2 linked regions of the Alligator mississippiensis genome follow. The protein of the gene in region 1 purifies or fractionates together with the protein of each later gene. This does not show direct contact. Links are inferred from orthologs where the notes say so. Each region holds a gene or a part of one and is shown in the gene's direction. Other genes may lie near its edges.

What was found.
Region 2: the proteins of HNF1A (region 1) and PCBD2 purify together in Homo sapiens (affinity purification with mass spectrometry; 4 studies listed by BioGRID and IntAct, with this or other methods). This does not show direct contact. The link is inferred for Alligator mississippiensis from reciprocal best matches to the Homo sapiens genes HNF1A and PCBD2.

The regions. Positions count from the first base shown.
Region 1 is NC_081833.1:20,598,271-20,614,017, reverse strand, and holds the start of HNF1A (hepatocyte nuclear factor 1-alpha), read left to right. Parts: upstream 1-7,855; 5' UTR 7,856-8,119; coding exon 8,120-8,454; intron 8,455-9,600; exon of another isoform or gene 9,601-10,168; intron 10,169-12,218; exon of another isoform or gene 12,219-12,818; intron 12,819-12,840; exon of another isoform or gene 12,841-12,881; coding exon of another isoform or gene 12,882-12,925; intron 12,926-14,707; coding exon 14,708-14,907; intron 14,908-15,747. UniProt on the Homo sapiens protein: Transcriptional activator that regulates the tissue specific expression of multiple genes, especially in pancreatic islet cells and in liver. Binds to the inverted palindrome 5'-GTTAATNATTAAC-3'.
Region 2 is NC_081832.1:70,582,004-70,597,088, forward strand, and holds the start of PCBD2 (pterin-4-alpha-carbinolamine dehydratase 2), read left to right. Parts: upstream 1-6,600; 5' UTR 6,601-6,693; coding exon 6,694-6,768; intron 6,769-7,298; exon of another isoform or gene 7,299-7,400; intron 7,401-11,371; coding exon 11,372-11,503; coding exon of another isoform or gene 11,504-11,517; intron 11,518-11,973; coding exon of another isoform or gene 11,974-12,020; intron 12,021-14,161; coding exon of another isoform or gene 14,162-14,246; exon of another isoform or gene 14,247-15,062; intron 15,063-15,085. Other genes in the region: TXNDC15 (thioredoxin domain-containing protein 15), read left to right, coding at 236-613, 2,815-2,978, 3,074-3,204, 4,158-4,354.

The DNA.
Region 1 (15,747 bases):
GAAAATTGATGGGGAATATTTTACAGGACTCTGAATTGTTTGCTGTTGTATTTGCTTTACAGGGTTATGCTAGTAAAGAACTTTTAGTTGTTTTTATACTGATGAATGTTTACTCCCCAGGGTTAAAAAACACACCTCTGATTAACCAAAGGAAAAAAAAATCCTTCAGTGCACACACACACAGGACCTTTGCATCCTTAACAGCATAACAGAGGTCTCTATATTTAACTCATCAATTTCCATACCATGTCCAGCTCCAGCATCTGTGATGTTCCTAAAATTAATAGATGTTAATCTTTTGTTTCCTAGTCTCTGGAATCTGCTGGCTCTGACTGGCCTTTGGCTACAGTAATTGTAGCAGTTTCCATGTCTAGAGGTTGCAAAGGGGCCAGTATCAGCTGGTACTTTTCTTCTTAGAGCACAGGGAAGCTTCATCCTGTGGTTTAAAACAAAGGTAATTTATTATCTTTACTGGCATTTTTCTGTAGTGAGTCGAGATGTCAGCTGGTCTTTTCCAAAAGCAGCCTCTCCACAAAAAGCAATGGTGAAATTCAACTTAGTCTAAGTGTAGTGTGGAGTTCAGAAAAAGGCAAACACTTTCTGAATAGTATTTCTGTTCAAAGTACTTCATTAAATTTAGGTTACTACATAATACAGAAGATAATTCTATACACTGGCTGGAACAGTTAAATCATTACACTCCACTCCACAGAACAGCAAACTAAAAGGAATGAGATTTATCATGCTATCATAAAAGGCACTTAATTTATGTGACAGAAGTGCTAAAGCAGCTTAACTATGATCAACTAGAATAATTCATAATCAAATGCAAAGTAACCCCTGTAGCAAGCTGGAGTTCTAGGGGTAGCCATAACATCCCCCAGTGACCACACAACCCTTGCTCTGCTCCACCTCTAGGCTACCCCCACCTTCTCACTTTCCTGCCACACGTTGATGTACATATTTGATGTAAAGAGTGGCTGCCTAATGGGTCCTAGAGGATGCCACAGTTCCTCTGGCAGCTAGCAGGTCCCTCCCGGACCCCATCAGTCTTGACCCTGCCCTCACGTTAAGTGGGGCCTCTTGGACTGACCTTGCCCTGTGGGCAGCAAGAGCCTTAAGGCTATTCGTAGCCTCCAGCCTCCACTATAGCTGTGGCTATGCCTCGCAGGTGTTGCTATCTAGGCAATCTTCCTGTCTTGGGGCCTTGGCCTTTCCGGCCTTTGCCCTGTTTCTCTCACTGGGCCATCCAGCCAGGGTCTGCTGTGCTGGACCCAACTTCTGGACTTCAGCTCTTTTTGTGCCTACTTTGACTCTGTGCTGGGCCCTCTGGCCCTCCCTCTGCCTTTTTCCAGGCTTGCAACACACCTGTACCACTCAGGTACCACTGGGACATCCATGCCTCCCCCAAGAGGCCAACTCAAACCAGTGGTCTAACTACAATGAACAAACAAGCCCTCTGGCCATAACATAAATTAAATCTGCTCCAGATGCTGTGTATAGAACAAAGCTTCCCCTTACCCTGGGCTGCATTTCTCTAAGTCATCAGTGTCTTACTGGCAGTCCCCAAGGTAGTTCAAGAATCAGCCAGGCATCTTCCTGCAGTCTTCCTGACCAGAAGCTCATCTCTCTGTGGCTCAGACTTCCCTTCTGGCTCAGACTCTGGTCTGATATAGTCTACACCCTGCCCCTTCTGACCAGGGGCCTGACAGCTGGTCTCCATGGCAGCTCACAACCGCTGTTCTGGCAGCATCCCTGCTGCCCAGGCTTGGCTCTGCCCTACTGTCCTATTGCAGAGCAGCTAGCTCTGCAATAGGCATCATAACCCTTTGTCTTCAGCTGTTTACTCCCTTGTAGCTAACTCAATCTAGGAAGAGTTCTCCTGCCCAGCTGCAGGTGTGGCCCTTCCTTTAATGGGCAACTCCCTGACCAGACAGCAGTGTTTCTCTGCTGCCTTCTCTCTTGTAGTTGGTCTATATTCTGCCGCCTGGACTCTTCTTATCAGCTGCAGTTTCTCTCTTTCCTTATAGTAGCAGGAGCCCAAGACGCCTCATTACAACCTTTTCACAGTATAAAGATATAAAGCACATCCTGGGAATGAATGTACACCTCAGATGGACACCTGGGAAAGCAGAAAATGTTTTAAACCTCTGAAAGGTAAAATCTGTTAAAAAACAGACTGGGTTTGGTCACTGTAGAATGAATCCCCCCACTCCACAAAAATATAACATTTATCTTGCATCAACTGTGAAAGGATCCTGTTTGGTCCCATGTTTGAATTGGACCAGCATTCCCTGGGCCCATTCTGCATGATCAGACTTGTCCTCTAAGGAAAATAGGAACATGTCAGTTTTCAGCATGGATGCTTCAAAATGAAGAGAAACATCTAAAAAATTACTTTAATTAAAGTTTGTGGCTAAATTATATTTTTAGTGTCTCTGAGTAGGGTCAGATGACAGCAGCTAAAATGGTGATGGCTGGTCTCCTCCTGCTCTTAGAGCTACCTTGTCAGCAGTCTGGTCCTACTCCTTTACATGCTGCACATGTAAAGCCTAACAAGAGGTGCTACTCACTACAGTATTTTCCACCTAAATCAAACCAGTGAATACAACTGTGGTAACTGTATCAGTCAGTCCTTGGGAAATGGGTAACTTGTATCCCAAAATTATGCTGTCTGGGATCTATCCTGGAAGCGTTTAAATTTCTCCATGCACACAACTTCCTTCCAGGGTAGTAGCTCAGTGCAACTTAATTTTTTAACAGGAGAGTTGGGGACAGGTGGGGCATGGGGAAGAGGGGGAGGTGCCCCAAAATGTTGTTTGCATTTTATTCCTTTGCTGTCCCATGCACAAATAATCTACATCACAGTGACACTTGCTCTTGTGACTAATGCCAGAGATCCTGATTTTCTCTGTTTAAAAACATAAATTCTCTGGTAAAAGAAAAAAACCCCAAATTTTCTGACTTAAAAACCCAAAATCTGTGTTTTTCCACAATTAAAATTAAACACTACACACACACACACACACAGAGGTATCAATTGAATACAATTGCACCCCCTGCTGCTTTGTGGCCTTGAGCAGCCCTGATATGCTGTTGCCCCTCACTCCCAAACCATAATGCCCTAGCTCTGCTGGTGCCCCTCACTCCCAACCCACAGCCCTCTAGCCCTGTCGGTGCCCCTCACTCCTGACTCATAACCCCTTAGCCCTGCTGGTGCTCCCTACTCTCAACCCACCGTCAGTGTCCTTTACTCCTGACCCATAGCCCCCCACCCCGGTTGGTGCCCCTCACTTCTGACCCGCTGTTTCCTCACTCCAAGTGTGTGAACAAGAGAATAGCTGTGTGGGGAATGTGTGGGAAGGCACAGGTGACCGGGGGGGGCACATACCCCCCAAGATTTCTGCACCCACAACAGGACATGGGGCTACAGCAGGGCCAGACTGTCTCTAGGCAGGAGCCATCTCTGTGGCCCAGCAGAGGGACCCAGTGCACCATGATGAGTAGGCATGGCAGGGGCAGCAGCAGTGGTATTAGTGTAGAGTTGTGCCCCCTGCTGCTGCCAGGTGGGCAGGGAGCACCTCAGCTTGGCAGCACAGTTATCCCTCCCACCCTGAGGTCCCCAACTGGGCCACAGAGACAGCTCCTGGCCAGAGCTGATCCACAAGCCCCTCCGTGGGCACAGAAGTCTTGGAGGGCACTGCCCCCTCCACCCTGCTAACATATAGCCTGGGCCCCTTTCCCCCTCACCCAACATGTGCCTTGGCCCCCTTCCCCACTTTACCTAATGTGTGGCCTGGGCCCCCCCCACACCTCACTGCCCAGGGACTTACCTGGAGGGAGCTGTGGGAGCAGCTCTCCACCACCCTGCCTGGCTACCAGGTGCATGAGCATATGGAACAAACAAGTGGAACAGAGGACAGCAACAGCAGCAGCAGCAGCGGGTCCTCTAGTAGAAACTGGAGCAACAAAGACAGAGAGACCACTTGAACTGAGTATGTGACCCGGGAAGTGGGGCAAGGGTGGAAATGAAGGAAAGGGAGGGACCAGAAGGGACTGATTTTTTGTGTGTGTGTTGCACTCATTTGTGGATATTGTAACAGGTACGGGTGACCAGCAGGCCTTTGTACAGGTGTGCAGGTGCAGATTTCTGTAATGGGAAACGTTTAACCATTTTGTGATGTAATAGGTAGAGTGTAAATATATATATAACTTTATATATATAGAGACAAATATTTTTACAAAAAAAAAAAAAAAAAAAAATGCATGTGGTGCCCCCTGCCTGGCTGCCCTCCTCCCATAGCCCTTGTGAGCTGGAAATCTGCAAGCCTGCAAGGGGAAACCCACCATTTCCTGCATATTTGACTTTAAAGGCAAAAATCCATGATTTTCTCCTTTAAAAAGAAAAGCCCCATTTTGTTCCATTCAAAGAGAAAATCTGCATTTTTCCATAGCAAATGGAAAATCCAGATCCCTGAATGACTAAATGCTTCTCCCTTTATAGCTCACTAGCTCTGCTCCAAGCATCAGTGAAGAAGGTTATTGAACAGTGACATACAAGATTTCAAGCCCCAGCATGATCTCAATAGCAATTGTCTTAATATGATTAGTACCCATTCCAATGTTTTTTAGCATCTGAAATTAATCAAGTTACCAAACTGCCTGGGAGGGAGAAAGGAAGATGGTCTCATGGGAAAGGGGTATGGGATATCTGGGCTCTGTTATTGGATCAGCTGTTTTTCTATTTGACTCTGGTTATGTCACTTAACCTCTCTGTGCCTTGGTTTCTATAGAATGCTTAGCTACCATCATAAAGAGCTTTGTGTTCTGGAAATAAAAAAGTTATCTGGTGCTTTACAATTCAGTGGCTTCGCTACTGTATGAAGCAATGACACTTCATTCATCAATGTTTGTAAAATACTTATAGAGAGCCAAAAATTAAGACAGCTAAAGCATGTTACATATCAATTCATCTTTTAAAAATTTGGAACTCCCTACAGTTAACCACATGCTAAGGAATGGAACTTGGGCTTCTTTGATCTGGCCATGTCATAACAAAGCTATTGGGAAGAGAGATTTGAAACCTGTCTGACTTACTACTGTGTTTCCTGAATACACAATATGGAGAGTTTCTGACTTTAGTAAGAATGACACTTAAATAGAGAATGATCCCACATAGCATAGTAAAATGTACTGAGGAGAAAGATTCTAGCACTGCTTTGGGTAGTTACAAGATTGTGCATTTCATACCAAGGCCTTCCCTGCCTCAGTTCCATCATATCATACCTCTTCTATGTAATTGATATAAAATAGGTCCAGAATTCAGATTTTGGATGAGTTTAAATAAAATAGTCCTCAATCTAATATTGATATAAATTATTTTTAAACAAAGACACTAAAGTTTAAGTCTTTCCCTGCCATGACTTTAACCCAGACATTTCAACACTGCTAGTGCATAAAAGCCTGAAAGTTAAACTATTATATTTGCAATACTCATTCTATAAAAAAATGGCAATGGAAGGTCAATGTTAGTCCAAAACAGGTTATATAAAATAAGTATTTTCAAAACCCACAAGCAATAAAAGATTTCCATGATTACCATTGTTGAAAAGAAAATAATAATATTCTTCAACATCTTTCTAATGTGAATGAATCAGGCAGTGAAGCTGGGTAAAACAGGCCAATTAATTAGTGTTGTTAGCTCATTTTATATTTCTGCCAAAAACAAATTGGCAAACCTTAAATTTTCTGAGATGTAGCACAAGGAAGAAAACTCTGAATCTGAAAGAGTCCTTCTTAATATTAGGGTTATAATTTTGCACATGCAAAGAGAAACTAGGCATTGTTACTCCAAGACTCCACATCAGTACTGTCACTTTTTTAAATATATTTAATTGCTTTTAATGGCCAAACTGACATTTTCAGTGTTTTCCTTTACAATTTTCCACCCACAGTTGTTTGCTCAGTGTGAACTTTATATAGATGTTATCCAATCTATGGTATGTAAATATGTATTTTGCTTTAAGCTGAAGAAAACAAAAAGCATTAAAATAAAGGAAACCTTACAGGAATAAACAACAGTAAGAGGTTTGGTGTTTATGCCTGGTACACCAACTCTGGGTGCAAAATGTTTATTCTGTCTGCACAAAGATCCTAGAAGTAAAGTAGTACAGAATACAGAAAATGTACATTACAGTTGGGGATTGTAATTCAACAGAATAAACATTGTCCAAAGGTTACATTTGAGTACCAGGCTCCTGGTATTCCTGGAAAAAAATGCAGACTCCTGGTTGCTGTCCCTTTGACCATGCTGAGGCAGTGTTCTGGAACCCTACATTAACTGTGTTCACTTTTCTAGCCTGCCAAAGGGAAGATATGCCTATGAAGTGAGGCCAAACAGTTAGCGGAAATCCTTGCTGAAAGTCTTCCCTAAGGATGTAACTGTGGCTTGCTATGCAGTCCTACTTGAGAAGAAGCTTGATCCATCATCTGGAGGCTTGGCACAGGACAGGAGTGCTGCTGAGCACAGACTATGCAGCTCCCAAAGAGAAGGAAGTGCCAAAGGTTACTCTGCAGTACTGCCTTTGGCCTGTATTTAGGCTCCCTGCTCCATCCAGCTTTCCTCAGGTTGGAGCTCAGGTGGGAGTGTAGAAAAGTAAACAAACTGGGGGAGCTAGGAAAATCCTCTCACTAAATCACTGTGGTTAAAATCCTCCTGTTTCTGATCCCACTAGGAAGAATCACACAGTCTAGCTTAAGTCTCTACAAGCTACAAAGTCTATGGTGGAAAATCAGACTTTCATGAGTAGATTATTTACTTTGTGCCTTGAGTCACATATTTGAAGGACAGAAGAGACCATCTAGTCCAGTCTCCTGCATTATGCAAACCAGAAAGTTTGCACTGCATCCAGCCCATTACCCTGGATGTGCTAGATCATCTCTTTCACAGAAGTCATCCAACAAGTGCGAATACAACCCTAAGGCTGGGTAACGTAGTATCAGTGGGGGTGGAACTAGAGTGATGGCAAATGGAGCTACTGTGGGCAGCACTTGCAAAGAGAGGAGGAGCAATCACGGGTAGGGCAGGAATCTTTACAATGCGCCAACACCCAGTCTAGCACTTGTGCGTTTGTTTTTTTTCCGCCTGCTTAGATTGTAGGTCCAACAGGGTAGGCCCCATGATCTGAGCATGCTGTTAGCAGCTAACCAAATCAGTAACTAAAGCAGTAAGTTGCAATGGCAAGAAAAGGGAACAGGTAAGTGCAGACCGAGCTATTTCAGCAAATCAGAGCCAGTGACGGGAGCAAATGCAATGTCGCTTAGGCGACAGGCAATCAAGTGATCCTATCCTGCTGAAGCCAGTTGGAGTCTGTAGAGAATAGTGGAGACCTTGGGAACATTAGAATCAATCCAGTGGTTGTACTCATGGGGGTTGTGCAGAGCTCCTGAGGCTCCCAACCCAAAGCTTTTGGAAGGGACTATGCCAACATTCTGAGGCAGGTAGCACCTGGTAGAGCTAACACCAAATGTTCCGGGTCGGGGTCTGCACATTCAACAGCAGTAGCCTTCCTTTCTGGAGTGGAGACGCTACAAACTTACTTCCAGCCCCTGCTGTCTATCTCTGCTCTTAAAACATCACAGCCAAGAACCAGCCACACTTTCGCGCTCTCACTTTCCAATTCCCCTCTTTTATCGCGGTCTCCTATCCTGGCTGTTCCTCTGTCCATTCCTTTTACTCTCCTTTTCCCATCTGCCTCCCTGCCTTTCCCCCTCCCCCTAACTTGCGCTCTCTGCACTTTGTGAACTGCTGCTGCAAGGCTGAAGTCCAAAGTTCAGTAACTTGCTAAGCACACGGATAAATATGAACCTTGGAGAATTTACATTGCTCCAATGTAAACAGATAGCCAAGGGTCCCTTTATCAGCACTGGCTCAGGACAGTCGTGGGGGGTCTGAAGCGGCTCATTTTTGTATTTTGTTTTTTTGGGGGGTGTAAAGGCGGGAGGCTATGCCATTCCACTCCGCTGACAGTCAGGCGTGCTACCTCAGGAATATGGTGTTGGGATAGCCGGAGGCAGAACGAGTTGAAACTCAAATTCAAGAGGCATCAGACTGAAGACCATGGTTGCAAAACTGAGCCATCTTCAGGTGGAGTTGCTGGGAGCACTGCTGGAGTCAGGACTTACCAAGGAGACTCTGATCAAAGCACTGGGTGAAGTAGATCCCTATCCGCTCCAGAGTGAAAGCCAGCGCGCCATCAGTGCCATCCAGGGAGAAAAAGGAGAACCCTGTGCTGAAATTCCCAATCTCCCTAATGGGATGGGAGAGTCCAGGTTATCCGAGGAGGAAACCTCTGATGATGGGGAGGAATTCACTCCTCCGATAATGAAGGAGCTGGAAAACCTAAGTCCAGAAGAGGCTGCTCACCAGAAGGCTGTGGTGGAGAGACTATTACAGTAAGGACACCATTTTTCTTCTCTTCCTCTCTCCCTCCATTTCTGTTTTCCTCACTTCTTCCATGCAGTATATTAGCATTCAGGGTTGATCGGGGTGTGCAGAGATTGTCCCTATCACTGCCAAAACTCACCTACCAAGTTCACCGTCTTTTATTGATGTTCAAACTTTTCTTCTGATCTCATTTCAAGCACAGGACCAAAACCCAGTTACACATGAAAAGTTCTAATACTGTCTGGGAAAAAAGGACTTCAGAACAATCAGAGACCTGTAGAGCTTCTGCTTCTTTGGCTATGAGATTTTATAGAATTCACAGTGTCTGCCACCAAGAAAAAAAACAGGACAAGTCCACACAAATCTAGACAAGGCATGAATTGCCATCACAATAGTCTGAGAATCTGCACTGCAGGAGGAGAAATCTTCTAAGTTTTTCCTGAGATTTTTACAAAGTTGTACATATTTTTCTTTACTGACTTTGGTACAGTCAGGTTTGCCAACAAAGACAAACCAATAGGGCTTGATCCGGGTGTCTTTGTGCAGACCATATGTCCCCTGACTTCACTGGGGATTTGGGTGTAGATGGAGGGCAGACCAGCTACACTCTAATAGTTGTCAGCCCTGGTAAGCATGCTCAGTGTCTCCATTTCCCAACATGTATACTAAATATACACAGGGATGCCATCTACAAGCTCTACTGTTGCACAAACTTGCCTTAATATACCATCATATTAGGCAAAAAGTATGAGGAATTCTCTCTATCAATCTATCTAACATCAAGAAACTCAACCACAAAACCTCACATTCTGAGGTTAGGGTCAGGCAGGAGACACTGGGTAGCTGCAAGGTCCCAGAGACTCAATTTGCCATTTAGAATCTTTCTGAGGCAAGCTAAAATTAGTCTGGAGGGCTGAGAGGCTTTTTGTCCATTCCTCTCTATGGGAAAAGGAAATACAATTAAAAATGCAACAATGAAAAACAAACACAAAACCCCAGCAAAAGCCCATAGGTAGCAAAACAGAAGAGTAAGAGTAAGGATTAATATTTAAGAGGGCATACGTTCATTGCTTGAGCTCTAGAGAGTCTGGGAAGATTTAGAGCAGATCACATTAAAGTGCCTGATGGAAAAAAAAAATTGGAACAGCTCTTACCTGGAGAGGAAAATGTTCCACACAATTAAATCTTCTTACCTACCCAAGGAGCCTCTCACCTTCCTCTGCCACTACTTTTCATACCCCTCTTTCTTTGTTACAAGCCCCAGCTGTTTCCATCTTCCCTGTCCTACTCCTCTCTCTTCTTTCCTTCTTTTGCTCTCTCTCATCCCCACTTCTGTCTAGCCCCACTGTTTCTGTGTCTGCCTATCCAGCTCTTTCTGTTCCACACATCTTGCTCACTCCGTCTCACCCCTGCCTCCTTCTTCCCGAGTATGCGTAGAGATCTTGGGGCAGTTTGAGCTCCAGTTGCACCGGGCGGGCCCTGACTAGTTACTAATTATCCAGTGCCTTTATTATTTCTCTTTTGTCTTATAAATTTATAAACAAAAAGACCCTGATAAGCTTTTTGATCATTAACTTCTGATGATTTATCGGGTGTCTCTCCAGAAAGGAAGCCATGGAAGAGTACTTGGCTTTGTCTTCTCTCTAATAAATGGATGAAGCAGGGGTGGGACTCTGTCCACTGTGCTCTGGTACAGAGAATCTTGCACCTGGAAGGAATTCCTGCCCTTGATCTGGGAACTGATCATGGTTCACCTTGGCATAAACTCTGATTTCTGATCTCTTACATTTTGTTGTCAATTTCAGCAGGCCGCTTATTCCTATGCTATGCATTTATAATGATGCTCTTCACTTCTTAAGTACTTTCCAACTCAGGATTTCAAGCTCTTTGTAGACCATGATTTGAATGGCATTCCCATTTTACAGGTGAGGACACTGAGGCACAGAAAAGCAAAGTGACATGCCCAAGGCCATGTTGAAAATTAGTAGCAGGATTAAGAACAGAACCAGGATCTCCTGGAGCCTCATTCTGTTTGTGTCTTACCACTGATCTCCTTACAAAAACTCAGCAAAAATAAATTTCCCTTAGCCATAAATGTTGTAAGAAAGAGGTCAAAATTATATTTCTATCATGCATTCAGGACTGTATTAAAGCAATGCTTAGGACCCAGACTACAAAAAAGGCAGGTAGGGTCTTCATGGAACATATTAAACCAAAGCCACTAGAAGTACCTCTGAAATGGGGTAGTGGAGAGATTGTTCTGATAGGAAATGTGATTTCTGTCTTTGTGTTCAATGTTTTAAAAAACAATTGTTTTATTGGGGAAGCAAATTCAATGCACCTGGGTCAATATCAGGGACTGACAGTGGGGAAGCAGCAGACAACAATAAACCCCCCCCCCCCCTTTAGCAAAGGAACTATTTTGTGATAGAAGATAACCTAAGGAGGTTGTCCTTAGAATACCATTATATACAATTACACCTAGTGCAAAATGGTATATTACAGAAATTCCTTTCTACGAGCTGGGACATCACTCAATAGAGGGTTTTTTTGTTGTTTTTTTTGGGGGGGGGGGGGGCCGGGGGGAGTTTCCCTTCCAAAATCATGGTGGTAAGATTCTGTTTTGTTCAAATCTAGCGGCCAAAGCGAGCACTCCAAAGTGCAAATTCCACCTTGTGCCATACCAGCAATTCTGGGACTAACACTGTCAGCAACTTTATAATACAGAAATTGTCTCATGAACATCTTTTGTAACTATGGTCACAACCACTTACTTTAAGATCTGTAACAATTGGTTACATGGAAAGACAACCTTGGGTTCATTATTCTACACTTTTGATACACTTTAGAAGCTGGAAACAAGAAGAGACCACAGCATGTGACCAAACATTTCTTTGTAGACCTTTAATATGTACTCTGTGAACCACTTAGTGGTTCCCAAACTGTCAATGTAGATCACTGATTATGCTCAGTAAATACAGGATATAGGTAAATCATATAGATTGCCCTCACTCCCTTAAAACAGCCTTAAGTGCACTCAGTGGAGTCCGTTTCATGTTGTCCCTACAGAATATACTGATCATGCACAAAAGGAGGTGTCATTAGTAAGAAATTAAGAGTCTCCCCTCCCCTCCCCCATACTGTGAAGCCCAAAGAGAAGAGATGAGGAATAGGATTTAGATGGAGGAGTCTCATTGATTTTATCCATGGGACTTGCAAACCTTAGCACTTTTGGGCTTTTGAAAATTCCTCCCAGGGACCCTCCAGAACGGAACAGGACTGGGGTGTGTTAAGGAGTAAAGTAATTCCTGGGGGCACTTATCAGATATTTCAGGGGGAAATGAGAGAATACAGACTGGCTTTGGGAGCATAACAAGGAAAAGAGCAGACTTCCACAGCAGAGGGGTTTACTGCCAACATATGATAAGGAGTGCGGGGTCAGGGTAAGGGCTGCTGTACTCTGGAAGGAGGCATAGGAATCATTTGCCAAGAAAACAAAGGGTAAAATTCCATTGGGAAAGCAGGAAATGGAGACTGCAAGCACATTTCCACCAAAGCCAAGGGTGAGGGCACATTTTCTAAAGGGGCATTGTCCAAGAGCTAATGGCCCTGCCCTTCCCCCAGACAGCTACTTGCTGGGGGCAGCCATAGCTGAGGGTCCAGAGATGAAGCTACCACACACCCTTCCATTTAATTATATGGTTGTATAAGCCAGAATGAGTCAAACCAGGCCACATTCAACAGAAAAGAACCCTGCTGGGGACAGTCTTACCTTCCCTGCTCTCTGGCCATCCCAGGTCCAGTCTGTGCATTGACATCAGTGATAGGTTTCTAGTAGCCTCCAAAGGAAAGCGCCAGAGAGATTGCCCCAAGCATTTCAAACCTCTAAACACACCTTTAACTAAGTCCCAGCTCAAAGAAGGAGAAGGTCAAAACCTAACTCCAAGAACTTAGGGCTTTTTCTGCCAATAAAGGGAATCTGGAAAAAAAAAGCGAAACAAAACACATTGCCCTGGGAGATGGTAGAGAACAGGGGAAGGAAGGAATGGAAAGAAAACAACCTGGAAAATGAGGAGGAGAGAGATGAGAAGGAAAAGAATAGAGAGAGTTTGGGAAGAAAACCCAGGAAGAACAAAGAGAGAAGGTCCCCTGAATGTTACATCCCCAGCTCTCTGGAATGGGTTTTCTTTAATGCTAACAACTTGATATTTACTTTCCATTTAAATTTGAGATGTTGCTATAAATTATCAACCAGCCTCTTGTTCCCTTTGAGTTTATAACTAACTACCTGGGTTACTTATTGTTCAGGTAACAAAAGGGAGGTGAAAACGCCCTTTAAAAGTGACCTCAGAACTGAGGAAATGGGAAGCTGGAATGGAGACCAGGCCTAGGCCCCAGATACCAAGAGGGGCAAGGGAGTGTGTGTTCAGAGGATATGGAGAAGCCAAAGGCAGGAGACCAGAACATAGGAAATGAAGAGTGAGTAAAAGTCTATATTATGTGAGGACAAGAAGAATATGGAGGAAGAGGCTGTAGAATGGGAAAGAAATAGGTGAAATTTTGTACTTGGAAAGAAGAGAAGTTGAAGACAAAGAGGAGACTTTGGAAGTGAGAAGTGGTCAGGAACTGAGCAAGGCCAGCCCAATTTTACAGTCCCAGCTCCCTAAAGGCATTGGGACCTTTGCCAAATCAGTTCAGCAAGATAAGGCTGGGAGTGGAATCCTACCCTCCTGCTAGAGACCACAGGAGTTTTGACACTGACTACAGTGGGGCAAGGATTGAATAGGAACAGAAGACTGGAAAGGACCTTTTGGGACATGAAGTCTGTTCACAGGCAAATATTTATCCAGACAGTCCTAGAAACCATCATGCTATAGTATTTTGGTCAATGGTTCTACAGGTGGTGCTGTGATGTCAAGTGAATATTCAACTGCCCTAGAAACACAGCCTACTCTACTATATAGGATCATAATGTCCATCTAACACTGCAATTACAGTCTTTGTTACAGGAACACAGTCAAGGCTTCATTCATACTTCACCACCCTTTACCACATGTTAGGTTACCCAGGCTGTAAAGAGATTCCCCAATCCAGGTGTATTTGAAGAGCAGACACACCTTCAAAAACACTCTCAACACTGGCAGTGCATAGTGCTTGAAACTATACAGTAGAGTTTTAAAACAGGATTAGAGGATCAGGCTCACAAGTACCTCCACCTTTCTTCCTACCATATAGCACTAAATATCCTAGTGAGAGAGAGAGAGAGAGAGAGAACTTGGCATCTTACAGCTGGAAGATGAGAAGGAAATCAATTTCTTACAGAGGTTTCTATGGGTGATAATAAGGTCCCCTCTTCTTCTCTAGCTGAATCGGAAGCATACTTTGAAAGAAGCCACAAGTCTCAAGCCTGAGTATCTTCTCATTCAGGACCCTGAGCCTCTGAGTAGGGGCTGGGTATGCATTTAGAGAAGGCAAGTATCAGAGCACAGTTGCTGGATAGGTTCACTGAAACAAGCAGTACCTAAAGGGAGATTAATTCTTGTCTCAGGAACTGATACACCACTTGCTTAAAGCTCAGAAAGGAAATAGCTATTGGAGTCAGTCCAATTTGGGGCACAGGGAAGATGGTGAAAAGTGGAACACCCTAATACAGCTCTCACCCACCCTTTATGAGAGGGATGAGTGGTCCCATTTTAAAATAAACTTTTTCAGAAAGTTGCCCATCAGCCTCCCACTGCACCGACTGCAGCTGAGCTTGCTCCTTGGACTGTCCACCTGTTGTGGAAGAGGGTAAAGCAGGAACAGAGATAAGGGTGTTTGTACTGAGGTAACAGATTTGGACTTTGTCCTCTTTATCACTTCGCAGCCTCTGGCAACCCACTGAGTCAACAAGGCAGCTAGAGCTGTGCTGCTGCCCAGCCTTCAGACCTCAGCTCTCCTGCTACATCTTCTCCAGAGCTATTAACAATACTTTGTAAAATGTTTAAGCAAGCACATAATTTAGTTTTGAGACTGGGTCAAAGCAGTACAGTGTGTCCGCTTGAGGAAGAGATTTCCTTGGGAATGCAAAGGTGCCATTATCCAGCACAGCAAATCTGTCCAACTTGGGGTAAGGAGAAGATTAATTGTTCTCACTGCTTCTGGTGTCCACTCTTCTTGTAGGCAGAGATAAGTCCTGGCTGATATTCTTGAATCCTTTCTGCTGAGCCTGGATACACAGCCAAAAGATTTTTTCTGAGATGCATTTTCTCTTCTTCCTAGAGAGGATCCCTGGAGGGTAGCAAAGATGGTGAAATCCTACCTCCAACAGCATAACATTCCTCAGAGGGAGGTGGTAGACACCACAGGTTTGAACCAGTCCCACCTCTCACAGCACCTCAACAAGGGCACACCCATGAAGACACAGAAGAGAGCAGCCCTCTACACCTGGTATGTCCGCAAGCAGCGAGAGGTGGCCCAGCGTAAGTACAGCAATAACAGGTTTCTCTAAGTTCTAGTCTCATACATCTCCCACAACTATCCCCAGCTCTGAGGTGGAAGGAGTGCTTTCCAGCAGGAAGTTTAGACAAGTCCATGTCAGTGTTCAGTGGGGTGACCAATTGAGTGGTGGCAGAAACCCCCAAAACAGCATGCAGCCACCCTTTGCTTTTCATACAGAGGCAGATTATAGGCTTCCACTTGCAACTCTACTTCTTTGTCCAAGCAGAGGCCTCTGCTCGCTCACAATGGAGTATTGTGTAAGAAACACAGGCAGAAGTTGGGAATGAGCAGTGACAGAATCCAGGACCTTCAGCCTCAAAAGCAGGCCTCTGAAATTTAATCTAATTAAATAATTCCTCTAGCTACAAGTAAGCAATAGACTGCTGTAGTCACTGGAGCCAGCCATTAGTGGAATATCATCTCACACATGCTAAGCAGGTATATTACAAATGCATGCTTGGAACTAAGGACTTTGCAGCTTGCACTTCCATATTAATGAGCCTATCTGGAATCTGTTTCAATCATATTTATGGGTCCCTAATAAAATTACTAATTTGACTGATGGCTGGTCTTAGAGGGCTGCACTCTACATCAGCTGGATTCAGTCCAAGCTCCTGCTGTTTTGATTTCTTTCACTGCTTCATGTTAGGAATACAGATGCAATGTGTCTAACATCAGGGCCAAGTATATATGGCTCCACTGGGGATTACCAGATCCATTTTAATAAATTACAGAGCAGTCTTGTCTAGATTCTGCTTTGGTTTTTGTTCCATATTAGCAGACGTGGACCAAAGACAGATCAGCTGGGTTCCAGGTGAGAG
Region 2 (15,085 bases), on another chromosome or scaffold:
TGCGGCTGCTCCTCCCTTTTGGCCCCATAGCCCGGGGGGGGGGAAGGGTGGGGGGGTGTGCTTCAAGGGGGCGAGTGCGGCTGCGCGGCCCACTCGGGGGCCTACACTCTTCCGCCCGGACCCAAGATGGCGGCAAGAACCGTTGACCGCAGCCCGTGCGGGGTCGCGCCCCGGAAGCGGAAGCGAGCGCGCTGCCCCGGAAGCGGCGGTTGTCCGTGGAGACCAGGCCGCGACGATGCTGCTGTGGGCGGCCTGGCTGAGCTCGGCGCTGCGGCTGCTGCTGGCGGCGGCGGCGGCGGCGGAGGAGCCGCCGCGCTACAAGACGGCGGAGATGGCGGACGCGATGCTGGGCGGCGCCGCGGCCCCCGCGCTGCTCTCGCTGCTCCCCGCCGACACCTGCGACGCGGAGGCGCCGTGCGAGGCCGGAGAGCGCCCGCCGCTGCCCGAGCCCGAGCCCGAGCCCGTCGTGGTGCTGGAGACCGTGCTGCCGCCGCCCGCCGCCGCCGACGACGCCAATGGCACGGACGGCGGCCGGGCGCCCAAGGTGGCCTGCGAGGAGCGCAGCGGCCCCGGCCCGCGGGGCTCCGCGCTGCACGTCCTCAACGTCTCCCAGGTGGGCCGCGGGGCTCCCGCCCCGCCCCTCTTGGGGGGGCACCCGTGAGAGGGTCTCCAGGCCCCGGTTGAGACTGGCCCCGCGGGCTGCGTGTAGCGCTCCACCCCAGTGTGTTGGGGATGCGGGCGGTAGCCGTGTTGGGCTACAGGAAAAAGCAGTGGGGACTCGTAGTAGAGGTGATCTCTTGTATTAGAGCAACAAGATTTTGACAAAAAAAGTCTCTAACTGCAAGCGTTTGGGCACGGACACCCTTCATCAGGCATTGGAGAAAAGGTTGTAGGAGTCGTCGTGAGTAGAAATTTATTCATTCATTCACGTGGACGACTGGTCCCCCCCCAGGTCTGGGTGGGGGGTCCTCCAGCGGCGAAACCAGAAGTGCGTTTCCACTGGCACTTCCGGTCTCGCGGGTGGCGCACCCCCTGCGCGTCGCCAGTGTCCGTTCGCTCGTTCAGGGGTGTAGATTGTAGCAAGGTTGGTCTAAGGACGTGAGCAGACAAGGCTCTTTGGGTGAATCCGATCTCTTTTATTAGAACAATTTCAATAGTTGGAAAAACGTTTTCTTAGCCGAAAGCTTGCTAAGAAACTATTTAACTTGCCAGGTTAAGAAACTTGCTAAGAAATTCTTTAAAAAAAACCCCAAAAGCTTGCTAAGAATTTTTTTTCCCCCAACTATTTAAGTTGGTCTAATAAAAGAGATCGGATTCACCCAGAGCACCTCGTCTGTCATTCATTCGTTCCTTCATTTCTACTCAGGAGAACTTTTACAGTCTTTTCTCTGATGCCTGACAAAGGGTGTTCATGCCTGAAAGCCAAGTTAAAGGCATCTTTTTTGCAAATATCTTGTTGGTCTAATAAAAGATATCACCTCTGTCCACAAGCTCTGATTGCTTGACCCAAATGTGTGACGTTTCCATTCCTTCCAGCTTTTCTGCCCCCCCCCCCCCCCCCCCCCCCCCCGGCTTCCTTAAAACTTTAAAGTTAAAAGAGATTTGTAATGTTAAAGTGTTAGCTGTGGCAGTGGTTGAAATACGAATGATGGATTTGTTTCTGAAAAGCTCTACTAAAATATCAGTGGAATTTGAAACACTAAGCATGAGTGTAGGACATCTCTGAAGCAACCCGGCAAAAAGCTTTTCATCATGGGAGTATCTCCTTAAGCTGTTCCTGTTCCCAGGAGGTTACAGGAGGAATTGTTCCCTTTTTATCACAAGGATGAGTGCTAACAAACTTGTTAAATATTTGGGATGTTAAACCCTCAGCCCACCCCAAAAGTGGTAGAACTCGTTAGGGTTTGTTTCATTCACATTTTATTACCCCAAATGCGAGGGCATGGGATGGACTTGGAAGAGAACATGAACCAGTTCATTTGAATGCCTTTGGTTTACCAAGGTAGACAAGGTTCTTTGGGTGAATTTGATCTCTTTTATTAACACAACTTAAATAGTTGGAATGTTTTTTCTTAGCAAGTTCCGTTTTAAAAACCCTTTGTCAGTCTGAGGAAGCATCCGCAGTTGGTGTGTGCTCTTCCTGGGTGGAAGGTTTACTTTGGTTTACCAAGTACCTCCTTCTTTACTCCCAGCCTGCTTGCCTTCTGCATTGCTCTGTGATTCTCCAGTGAACACCTCCCTGTTCTGCTCTGTCCTCAAACTTCCCCTTTATCTTCTGGCTCTTTTACTTGCCCTGCATTGCACAGGCTTTTGTCATCTTGGAGCTTTTCCTTTTGGTTGTTTCTTCTCCCATTTGTCTATAATACCAACAACTCCACTTCCTTTTCCTCTCCAACATTAGCTCCCTGTCCATGCCAGGGCCTGGATTTCCCCTTCTGGAGAAGGCAAGAGGTAGCTGAGCCCCACTTTGATGAACAAAATTTGGTTTGTTATCAAAAGCCAGCAAGCACAGCCCTTTAGGGAAGAGAGCAAGGAAAATAACTATTGCATTTGTTTTATAATGATAACCCCAAAGTATTACTTGGTTTCCAAGGAGATTCCTAACTGAGAAATAGGGTTAAAAGAAAGGGGACCACATTCTGTTAATTGGAATCATTAAAATGCTACTGAAAAGCCTGTTCAAACTTGCTCCTGGTGGTATTGCCTCATCCTCCTGAATGTTACTAGATTATGCACTGATGGAGAATAAAGTCCTGTTTCACATTTAACTGGCCCTTCTTTTTTCTAATCTGCTTTCTTCTTCTCCTCTCGTAGGACCTGATGGAGTTTTTAAATCCAAACAGCAGTGACTGTACAATGGTCCTGTTCTACACTCCTTGGTGTCGTTTCTCCGCCAACCTGGCTCCTCATTTTAATTCTTTGCCTCGAGCATTTCCAACTCTTCGTTTTGTGGCACTGGATGCATCTCAGCATAGCAGGTAGCTTCATCTAGAGTCTGAATCAAAAGAGGATGAAAACTCTGGTTTTCTCAGGAAGTAAATACTACCTATTGTTACCTATTTCTTTCCTTCAGTTTATCAACCCGATTTGGAACTGTGGCGGTTCCTAATATCCTTCTTTTCCAAGGAGCTAAACCTATGGCCAGATTTAATCATACGGATCGGACCCTGGAAACATTGAAGGCATTTATTTTTAATCAAACAGGTATGTAGAGCTGTGAGGGTGAGGGTCAGCTGTAGCCCCAGACTGAAATTGTATTAGGGGATCCATGAAAATGTCTTAGGAAATTTCTTCTTACCGTGAGGGTGATTTCAGGGAGGGGCAGAAGCTAGGAGCCTGTCTGTCAAAAGCAGTTCTGGTCGGGGCTATTGTGGGTGGGAGTCAGCTGGAGAATTTGAGTAGAGAGTAAGCACCTTTATCCATCAAAGCCCTGAATTTATTGGGAATAAAAGTGGACACACATTAGGAGTATCCTTATTTTAGTTACTATGCCCAGGAGGGGAGAGAGACAGATGTCTTAGGGTCCTTTCCCTGATAGGCAGGAGGTTAGGCACACATTGGTCTCAGTTCTTGTGTTGGGGGCAGTAGGAGGATGAGAACAATGGGCCTTTGGCCCTTTTCCCATTTCATAGTTTCATAGTAGCTAGGGTCAGGAGGGACCTGAACAGATCATCTAGCCTGACCCCCTGACACAGGCAGGAATGAATGCTGGGTTCACAAGACCCCAGACAGGTGATCATCCAACCTCCTCTTGAATTTGCCCAAGGTAGGGGCAAGGACCACTTCCCTGGGAAGTTGGTTCCAGATTTTGGCCACTCTAACTGTAAAATATTGCCTTCTGATCTGTTGTTGGGAAGTGCCTGCCTGGGCTCTGATCTCACTGGGATAAGGCTTCTCTTTTTCTAAGACACGTTGCCCTTCTGAATGTGGAGGATGATGCACTAGTATGACAGACCGATAGTTACTTATTAAAGGAGGGTGGAGGATCTTTGACCCTTGCTAAGGGTCCCGTGGCTATATCGACTAGAACTGTGTTAAATCCAGCAGCATATTTGGGAATCTGAATACAGTCCACCTCCAGCTAACTCATCATAAGATTTAAACTTGGCTAATACTATTGATATTAATCAGTGGATCCTTTTTTCTTGTTCTTTCAGGAATAGAAGCTAAACCTGATGTGGTGGTGACTGAGGAAGACCGAGAGGGCCCCCTACCGAGCATTCTGACAAAAGGAGTAGATTGGCTACTTTTATTTTCCTTACTGTTTCTGGCTAGTTTTATTATGTATGCCACCATTCGGACTGAGAGCATTCGGTGGTTGATACCAGGACAAGAACAGGAGCATCAGGATTAAGTTCTTGAGTTCTCAGAATGAAATGAGGGCACTACTTTGTGCCTGTGGATAAAGCAAGAAATCAGTTGAAATATATTGACACTGTGAATTTGTTCATTATAATTTCATTGATTAACAGAACAGATGTTTTAGCCAATTACTGGGTGTGCAGATGTCAGAAACGGGTGGTAATTATTGGTGCAATAAATAAACAAATGGAGGTTCAGGAGAAGAGTGTATTTGTTAAGCTTGTGTAGTTCCTTTCTTGCTACCTACAAGGAAAAAATGATAAATTTAATATGTTTAAAGCTGGATGAATAATATAACATTTAAGAGTAATTATTCCTCCATTTGATACTGTCATAGTACCTTTAGGAAGGACTGTTTGAGAGAGGTAGAGAGAGAGAGAGTGTGTTGGGGTGTGGGTGTGTGTGTGATGGGGTGTGGGTGGGGAGGACCAGTTGGTGAAGCTTAGCAGCAGTAAACACCTTAAACTTCATTGTGCAGCCAGGGAGAGCAGGTGGTCATGTGTTATATTTGGCCCTGAAGCTAGGTATTATTTACTATTGTGGGCTTACTATTGTCTGTAAGGATCTGCCATTTTGCTCTAAGGATTATATTATATTTACCTGTATTAAATGTCCTAACTGCTTGTTTTTGTAGAAAAGAATTTACACGCGACTAAAATCATTCGTTCTGGCTGGCATGCAATCTTTGAAATATAGCTTCTCACCTAAACTTAGCAGGACTAATCATGAGATGTATTTACATTTCCACAAGCGTTTGTTTTTTATCTTAGTTGGAAAGCCTCAGGTAAATAGGGGATTAGTTTATTGTTGCTATGACCTACCATATTAAATGAGGATCTAGAGTAAGATATGGTTTGTTGCATGTTCTCTACTTGTCTGCCTGAGAATAGCTATTATGTACAGCAGACGTTTATGATAAAAGGCTGAAATGAAGCTAGGAGAGAAGATGGATAACCATAACTTGTGTTGCCTCTCATGAAGCTTGATATTGCCAGTATGAATTTCCTTATAGTTATGGAGAGTTCAATTAATACTCCTTCTGTACGGGTTTTAAAGAGAGCTGAAATGGGATGTGTCTGAGCTAAAATAACTGAATCTATGACAGAATTGGCAGTTTTGCACAGAAGCTTCTACAGAGCCATTTTTTCCTACGTGAATGATGATACTTGGTTAGTTTTCCAACTGAAGTAGATCTGTGTAGCTATATTGACTTCGGAGCAATGCTGTTTTACATCAGGTAAGGATTTAATAATAAAAGCATAAGAATTGTGATCTACCAGGTCAGACCATAGGTCTACCTTGCCTCAGTATTTAGTCTGTTTACATCTCTGGGCAGAGTTTCACTGGGTAGTGTCTACCTGTTGGAGGGCCAGTGGGCACTGCCCAGCGGGCTTCACCCAGTGATCCCTCTCAGTGCACTTGTTCTGAACCTCTGACCTTTACTCCTGTCTCTGTCTTGTCATTTATTTGTCCTAAGCAATCAGCAATGTGTCCTTAGTCACCCCCCTCATCAAGGTGGGCTGGAATGGCACAAAGGACCTGCAGTGTGCAGGGGGCAGGCTTAACACATTTTCAGTTGCCTTTGCACTATTCCTTTATAAGGGGTGGCAAACCTCCAGCCTGCAGAGCCTGCAACTTTGGTGGGGGACTCTGGCCCGGTGAGACCTGTGGCGTTGGAGCCCCAGCAGCACCACGGGAAGATGCTGGCATTGCTGGTACTTGGCTGTGGTGGTGGGAACAAGCTGGGGTGCAGGTGTTGGCTGCAGCCGACGGTGGGGGGAGGGGGGGGAAGGGTTCCGTCAGCCCAGTGTGCTGTGCGTCACTCGTCTGGGCGGGTTAGGCACCCCTGGAATAAAGCCTGCGTGGGACTCTGCTTGCAGCCCCTGTGCTTCTCGGTGCTCCTGAGCGAGGGAGGGTGGTTCCGTGCTGCACCAGCTGGGATAAAGCCTGGGTTGGGCTCTGCTTGCAGGTCCTGAGCGGCGGCAGGTGGTTCCGCGCTGCACCCGCCCGGACAGCTGTCAGGCCGCAGCATCAGACCGGCAGCCGCGGTGCCCCTCCCACGTGGCGGCCCCTAGCGCACGCCCTTTCCGACTTCCGGCTTCCCCGGCACCCGCGCGCATCCTATTGGCCGAGCCGGGGGGGCGGGCCGCTACCACTCCCAGGCAGGGGGGCGGGGCCGTACCACTCCTTCACAGGCTGTGGGCGTGGTTCGGCCAGTACCATTCCACCCCCGTGGCGCGGCGGGGGGGGGAACGCGGCTCCCACTCCCGGCAGCGCAGGCCCTAGCTGGGCCCGTTCCCCCCCGCGCTGTCCGCGCGTGGTCGCGCCGGGATGCCGGGCGTGGGGTTCGCGCTGCGCCGGGCGCTGCTGGCGGCGGGACGGGGCCGCGGGAGCCGGGCTGCCATGGTGAGCGCGGGCGGGACCGGGCCGGGGCGGTCGAGGCGCATGTGAGGGGAGATGTCCGCCCCAGGGCCCATGTCACAGATTTCCAGGCGGGTCTCGAGCACCGGGGGCTGCCAGAGGAAGCCGCGCGGGCTCTGCATGGGCCGAGTCGCCCTCACGCGACGGCCCTTTCTATCCCCCACAGTGGCTGCGCGCGCCGTCACGCGGCGGTGCGGTGCGGTGCGGTGGCAGCGTGCCGTCAGGTGCCCGGCGCGGTGCATTGTGGGAGCGGGGCGCCCCGCACCTCGCTCGGTGTCCTGTGGTCGCCTCCCCGTGAGGGCGGGCGGTGTCTGCGCGTGCGCGCTGGTGCTCTCGGTGAGCCCAAAACGGTCCTGTCCATGGGGCCGTGCAGTCGAGGCCTTGCCCTGTCCTTGACATTGTAAAGCGGGTTCCCTTCGCACAAGTTCAAGTGACGCCCGCTTTCCAGGCACGCGCGTGCAGCATAAAGCGAGGGAAACCGGTGGTGTCAAAACCATCCTGACCTGTTCGGGTCTTTCACATCTCTGCAACTGAAGAATGGCGCTATTATTTTTCACGGTCAAGAAACGACTGAACGCTAAGCGCTGGCGTTTTCCGAGGGATCGAAGGAGGCGTAGGTGCGTGATGGGGAAGCCCCTCTCTCTCTCAGACACCCCCAACCCCTCCTCGCAGCCTTGAAACGCGGAGAGCTCCCAGGCTGAATCGCTTACACCTACGGTCCGGTTAGGTGCAGAAGAGAGGAAGGGTTGCCGTGCACGTGTGCGATAGGTGCAGGTCGCTCGTGTTTGCACAAGGCAGTCCGTTGGGACTGTTATCTCATTATGCAGCTTTACACTTACCCGCTATAAAAGCACACATGGAGTCGCTTCTCCCTTGCTTCACTTTGCGTTGGGGTTCCTGTCCGTCGGGACCGGCCTCCCCGGGGCATGGGCAGTTTCAGTTGTATTGGCAGCCTTGCACTGGATGGCTCTAAAGAAGTAAGCATCGGCCTCTTGGGCGAGTTGCCCGAGCTTGCTTTTCATGAGCCAGCCTCATTCTGAGCAAACCATGCCTGAGTTTGATTTTCATGAGGAAACTTCACAAGAGGAAGTGTTCTGGCTGCGCCCAGCTTTGGTTGCGTGGGGAACTTCCCGGATAGGCCGTCTCCTCGCCTGGAAGCAGGGAGATGCCCGAGGCTGCACGTGGAGCTGGCCACGTTGCTTCTGGTTGAGGAGCTGGTGTCGCTTGCAAGAGCACACACCATCTACAGATGCTTCCTCAGCCTGGCGAAGGGTTTCTAAACCTAAAAGCTTGCTAAGAAAAACTTTTCCAACTATTTCAGTTGGTCTAATAAAAGAGATTGGATTCACTCAAAGAAACCTTGTCAACCAGGAAAGTAAGTTTACTGAACAGACTTAGCCTTTTCCCTGTTATCCTTTGCACAGGTGCCCTTCACACCCAAGCCGGCTGTTCCATCCCCTCGATCCCAAAATGCTTATTTGAATGCAGAGTCCTCTTCAAGATGCTGCCTTGAAAAATACATTGGGAGTGTATTTGGCAGAGTAGTAAACCCCAAGTGGATATCAGTGCGGGTATCACGTGGGCCCTGAACAGGCATCTCAAGCGATCAGTCTTTGAGTTGGCTGTTTAACTTGTACGTCTCAGCTTGGGTCCCTGTTCTGTTCTCCCAGGAGGCAAAAGTACCTGGCAGTTCAGGTTTTGTAGAGCATAGCAATTCTGATTTTTATATCAAGGAGTAGATAATCATATATGCAAGATGAGACCTTAACTCTCTCCACACCCACAAAAAATTTTTTTGTAATATATGAGTCTGTTACAGGAGGTGAATGCTTTTAACTCGGATCCCTCTCTACCTTCCTTAGACTGCTTTCAAATAAATCTGCTGCTATTTATTAATAGCTTCAGGGCCCATCTTACGTAATCAGTAAATCATGGGTCACTTGTCATCATTTTGTAGGCCAAGTCTTATATTTACAGTTTAGTGTCCATGCTGTGTTTGTTTTTGGTGAACTTTTCCACATTTTCAGTGAGGTTGAGCTGTGCTCCATTGATATGACAGGTGTGTGTGCCTGGAGCCTTGTGCTTCTCTCTTTTGCTTTAAAAATAGGTTAATGTATGCTGCATATGCTTTTTCTGCTGAACTTCTTCAGTCAGTGGCAGTTTTGTGTTGGCATGCACATCTACAGAACGTGGCCTTTACAACTATTATTTATAAACAAACTTTATTCAGTGTCAAATGTGGTATTGCTCAGTGAGGACCAAGTTTGTGGCTAACAAAAATCTAGGGCTTTTTTTTTAAACCTGAATACCAAGGGGCTAATCTGAAGTCATTGGATAGACTCTTTGACTTCAGTGGGGTTTAGATCAGGCCGCAAGAAAGCAACTGACATGTCTTAACTGGTTTAAGAATGACAATTTCCTCAACAACAACAGAGGGCGAACTCCATTGTACCCCCAGATCCCCGTTTTGTGGTTTGTTGCTTTGAAAACCACTGAACAGAACTTTCTCAAGCTCCTCTTGGGGGAGGACATGCATGGCTAATTTCAGGCCAAAGACTAACTTTTGAGTACATTTATGTGTGTTTTAAAATCAGGTATAAAATACATTCTAATCCAGAAAAGTTGCTATGGCAGCACTAATACGATACTGGGACATTTAATTTTTATATTAAAGCAGAGGAAACAGATTGGAGAGACAAAATTAAATTGAAACATTATTTTTTTGGTATTTAAAACTGCTCTGTTTAAAAAAAGGACAAATCTAACCAAATCAAAATAGTTCTACATATAGATCTAGTTAGTACAACTGATTAAACTGCTCTTGTTCCCTTGCTGTCAGTTAAAATGTTTTTCTGCGTGGAGTTAAATAGCAGGTGCTGCGTTGATGCCTATACCTATATCTGTGTCTTTTTTAAGTGATGCACATATTTATTGTAGTTTTCTGTCATAAGATCATTTAGTAATAAAGAGCAGGCTTTAAACCTCTTTTGTTTCTTAACCAGAATTAATTGAATTACTTTTTGTTCTGATTTAATATATAGCACCATCTAGTGGTGAAGAGCTAACTTTTTATACCTGAACCAACATACGGCATACACATGTATGTATTGGACTGAATTTGCAAAACATTGTTTATTGGTTTTACCTATCAGCTTTGCCAAATGAGTCGCAAATTCAGTGCGAGATCAGAGCAACTGAAGTCTACGTAGGCTGGCATTGCCAGAGTGTTATTACTGCACATTTTAAAATTGTCAAAATAAATAGTTGTGCAAATGCACACACACGCGCACACACACACACATACACACATATTTGTGTGGCTCTCCCAACATAAATGTTCTCTTGCAATGTATGATCAAAAATATTTCATCTAATGTTAGTAATTTTTCACAAAATTATGTTGTTTTAATAATATGACAGCATAAAGGCCACTTGAAGTTTATAACTGGGAGTTTCTCCCCGATCTACCATTATGTTTCTAATATGAGTTTAGGACGAACCAGGGGTCAGAAACAGAGGCTTGGGTGTCTTTGGATCAAGTATAGTATCACATTAATAGCTCAGACCTTCTGGAAGGCAGGGTATTTTATATTTTTATGAAGAAAGTTAGGAAACATTTAAAACAGTCAGCTATCCTTCAGGTCTGATTCTAACCTCATGGTAACTTAGGATTTGTATTAGCAAGAAACTCAGGTTTCTAATATGAATGCATTAAGCATCTGGGTAGTCTCATTGGCTTCAATAGGACTTCTCATTAGCTCAAAGTTAAATGTGCTCAAGTACATTTCCAAATATGAGACTTTTTCTGAAAACAGGTAACCCTGTTTAATTTAGCTACTCTAGATTTATAGTGGTGTGAGAGCACTTACCCTAATGCAGAACTTGTCAGTACTATCAGTGGAGTTTTTAGTGCAGATTTGAGATACAATGGGGTATATTTTATTTGGGAGAAATCTTTTTAAAAACAATTAGTTTAAATTCTTTTCTTCCTAATTTTTTAATTCTTTTTGGGCTTCTTAGGAACTGTAAGATACAATGCTGATAATACATGGCAGGTTCTGGTTGCCTTTGTGCTTTCTAATTTAAAATTGATTTATGCTTGCTAACTTTCATTCAGTTTCATGTTTTTTGTAAATTTAATTTAGCTTAGTATTTAAATGAGAGAAAATATCAGAACTGAGTTGTCAGGAATTATTTCAAGCTTTACATCCTGCGCATAATTCTCATAGGCCAAGTACACATGAGACTAAATCATGCTACCTATCACACGTATGCCTGTGATCAGTAGTGCATACTTTATCACAGTGCTAGAGTAAAGCGCTGTCTCAGAGTTAGGTCTGAGTAGATAACTGAATTTACCAAACAGGTAGGTTTCTTGACTCCATTACCTGGGGAGTTATGCTATTCTATACAACTATAAAGTGCAAGGAAGCCCTATAATAAATTTTCTGCTGCTGGTAGCCTGAAGGATTACATTTCTATAATGCATAGCCACAATTTAAGCACATGTTTGTTTTTTTGTATTGTATAAGGAAAAGAGATGACATTAACCTTGGTTCTGGAATTTCTTTTCTTTCCCCCTTGATAGTCTTCGCAGTCACACTGGCTGACCACAGAGGAAAGGAATCAAGTTTTACTTGACCTCAAATCTTCGGGATGGTCTGAGTTAGGTGAAAGAGATGCCATCTACAAAGAGTTCAATTTCAAAAATTTTAATCAGGTAACTATTCAAAGGTAAATTGATTGTTTTGCTTTGCATTATGATCTTAGTGGGGAAATATTCATATCCACGAACTTGGGAGTGTTTGCTTGAAGAAAAATCCTTTATCAATAGGAATAGTTTAGATGAAGATTATTGCCAATGCCTATTTTATTTTTGAAAGACTTCCCCTTTCCCAGGGGAGGGGGATATTTTTGCAAAAGTGACTTGTTTCTAGCAAGATGCTCTTTTTCTTCTCCGCCACAACGCCTGAGGATGCTGGGTTGTGCCTACTGGACTTTTAGCATAAGGTATCTATTTATGTTTGTTGACAGTAACTTTGAAGGGCTGCCTAGCATGCTGTTTAGTTCTGTGGCTATGGTATAATCCAGACACAAGTCTGTAAGGGACCTTGGTGGTGAAATGTGACAATGATGGTGTGCAATGCTAGCTAATTTTTTGTTTTGTTTCAAATACTTTTTGTCATAAAGGGGACACAAAGGAAACTGGCAGCATCATTCCATGTCATACAGAACAGGTAAGGCAGCACTGCCATAAGGGTGTGTGCATGAAGACATGACTCCATTTTTCCTGAGTTGCACTTTCAGTCTGAAAGTTAATAATGGAGCAAAACAGCTTCAGACCAAGCAAACTATGGGGCAACAAAGGAGGGAAAAAAACCAGGCCAGAGTGCACGTGAGACCTCGATGAGCTTCCGGGGAAGGGTGGGAGAACTAGAGAGCCAAAGGCAGCGAGACATCGGCTCAGGGACAAGCTGTGCTGCAGGTTTCGAAGTCTGAGTATTTGTGTTTGGAGCATTTCAGACCCCAGTGTAATTAGAGAGCCTGTTGGCTGAGCACAAGTGGGAGTGCTTTTATTAAAGTTAGTATAAAATAGCCTTTGTAGACTGTAAGTAAGTTTAAATAAATCATTTCAATCAGACAGCTTTAAGGAACAGACCTGAAAAAATATGGACCAGAGAGACTGGAACACACACAGTCCAACAACAGAAATCTGGAAAAGCCACCCTATTAGATCAGTGAAGGACACCAGAAGGGATTAAATTATAGACTTTTTTTTTATAGGATTTATCCTCAGAATGTTACAGGGTAAAAGTTAGCTATTCATAAAGCTGCAATTTGGAGAAATTAATGTACCAGGGTGGGGATTCAGAATATATATGTAATAGAGTACATTAAGCCTAAGACTGGGAGCAGTGTGGAGCAGAATAGCCTGTTAGGTGCCCCTTCCTATGTATCATCTTAAATATGGTCCTTTTTTGGAATCAACTGCTCCAGGTGGCTGGAAGGGGATGATTGGAGTTCTTGCCATTTTTGTAGTCCTTACAAATATTAGGTCTATATAAAACTGAATGCTGTTATCGTTGGGAGAAGGGTTGAAAATTGACTTCAGGATTCAGAACTTCCAGGTGGTGACACATGGCACTTTCAGCTATGCCTTCCACTGAAGAAACACACAGGGGCCAAATTCTTTCTCCAGCTCTTATTGCAGTTCAGGGGGTTATGTGCTTGTATCTGAGGGCTGAATTTCACCCATGAACATCTAAAAAAAATTGAGGCAGCTGCAGGGTACAACACCTTCCATTTGAAATTCCAAACTGGAGAAGCTGGTGATCTCCCAGCCATGGGGAATGACTTAGTGTGGGATTTCTGGCTAGAACACGCATGAATGTTTGCAGCTGGATTTAGAGAGCAAATGTTTATCTCCTGGGAAGTTGGTACAGAGGACGGATTAAAAGTGTACCTGTTTAGTCCAGGACCTATATTTACTAATGTCCTCACGCAGCACTTAGCAGGACTTCTCCAAAGCACTAAATTCATATCACAGCTCTGGGAAACAAAGTGCTAAAATGGAGCTATATGCCTGCTTTGTAGTATGAGAGTTTTTCAGGCCTTTAATAAAAATGGACTTCTAGGTACAAGTTCTTTTATTTCTTGTAATAAATCTTCTGTTTACAGTACTTAAAGTATGAGTATTTAGTAAAAGTCAGAGAGCTGAGAAATATAATTTCCTCAGTGATCTTCATCTTGCCCTTTTACAGATGGCTTAAAATCAGGTGTGTAAAAAATCGAGTAGTTGAGCTGACATGAAAGGTATTTCAGATTTATGTTTTGCAGATGATATTGGTATGATTAATGTATTCATTGCCTTTTTTTATTGCTTCTCACAGATAATGCGCACAATGAATGGAAAATTTTGTGGCTTTAAAATCTCTGCCAGGTTTACAAAGTCTATGTATGTCAACAGATGTTAAAAATATAAACACAACTTTTATTATAAAGTCGTGCAAATGTGTAGACATGAACTTGGTTTATGTATATTATTTTCAGCATGAGCATGAAATGAAACTTCTGTGAAATGAGAGTTATTTAGATTCCTGAAGCTTTCAGACTGAGATTAACTTGGTTAAAAGCTATCAGAAATAGGCTGCCTTTTAAGTAACTGACAAACTAATGACACTTCTGGCTTGTAGAATTCTTTTATAACACAAGGCTTCATTTTAAACCCCTTATGGTGTTTGTTGTTTTGAAGTTATATTTTCTAAAAATGGGCCTTTGGATTTTCTTTTTTCCTCAAATGAGTTGGAAAATGCTAGAAATATTCATAAAGTATGCTAATGAACATACTTTGTTTTGCCAACTATTTTCTCTTTTGTAGTTGCTCAGTGCACCCTAGATGCCCATATCCTGGTTTGGACAGTGTTGATGTTCATAGTGTTCTAGACTTCTTCATCCAATCCTGAAGGAAAAGCACGTCCAGCACGGCTTGTTCCTCAGTCCTCAGCTGAGTAGCAGCTTTATCTTAAATGTCAGTTCCTCACCCTGCCTTTGATTGTGCTCACTTACTGCCCAAGTTATAAAAACCACCAGCCAGATGCAGACAGCCACATTTCTTCTTTAGTCTGTAGGGTGATGGTGAGATGCTTTAAAAGTCCTGTAGACTTTCCCGGACCATACACCTCAATATAGCTGCTCTCAAATGGTGATTGTGCTCTATCACCAGCACCTTTCAATTGATCCTTGGTTGTAACACTCACCCAACAAATACTATAATGAAATTTCAGTTCTGTATGTCTGCGCTGCCACCTAACCTAGAATTTGTGAGCTTCTGTCTTCAGATATGCAGGCCTCCGTGTGCTGAGTTGAAGGACTTCTACTGACCAATTTAGTGGAGGAATTGAGACCACATTTTGCTATGCATTGCCCAGTCACGGGCAAAGATGTCCCTCTCTGGGGAGCTGGAACCTCAAAACCTGACTCCTACCACTTTGATTTGCATGCACAAATCCTTCTATCCATACTGAGATCCTTCTCGACTTATTTGTGGATCCTTCCTAGCGAAAGATGCTGACTCTGGGACTGAAATATAAGAAATTTTAGTACCAAACTATTTAACAGTGACTCCTGTAACAGCTCCAGAAGCAGATTGCCTACCATGTGCCCTCACATGAATGAAATAACAGCAGCAGTGCAGCCTGATGCTGATGTTTCTTATTGGGTTCACAGATATATTTTCTACAAATAAAGTTCTTTATTAGCTGACAAGACAACAAACCCAAGGTTGTGACTCCTTGTCTGCCTG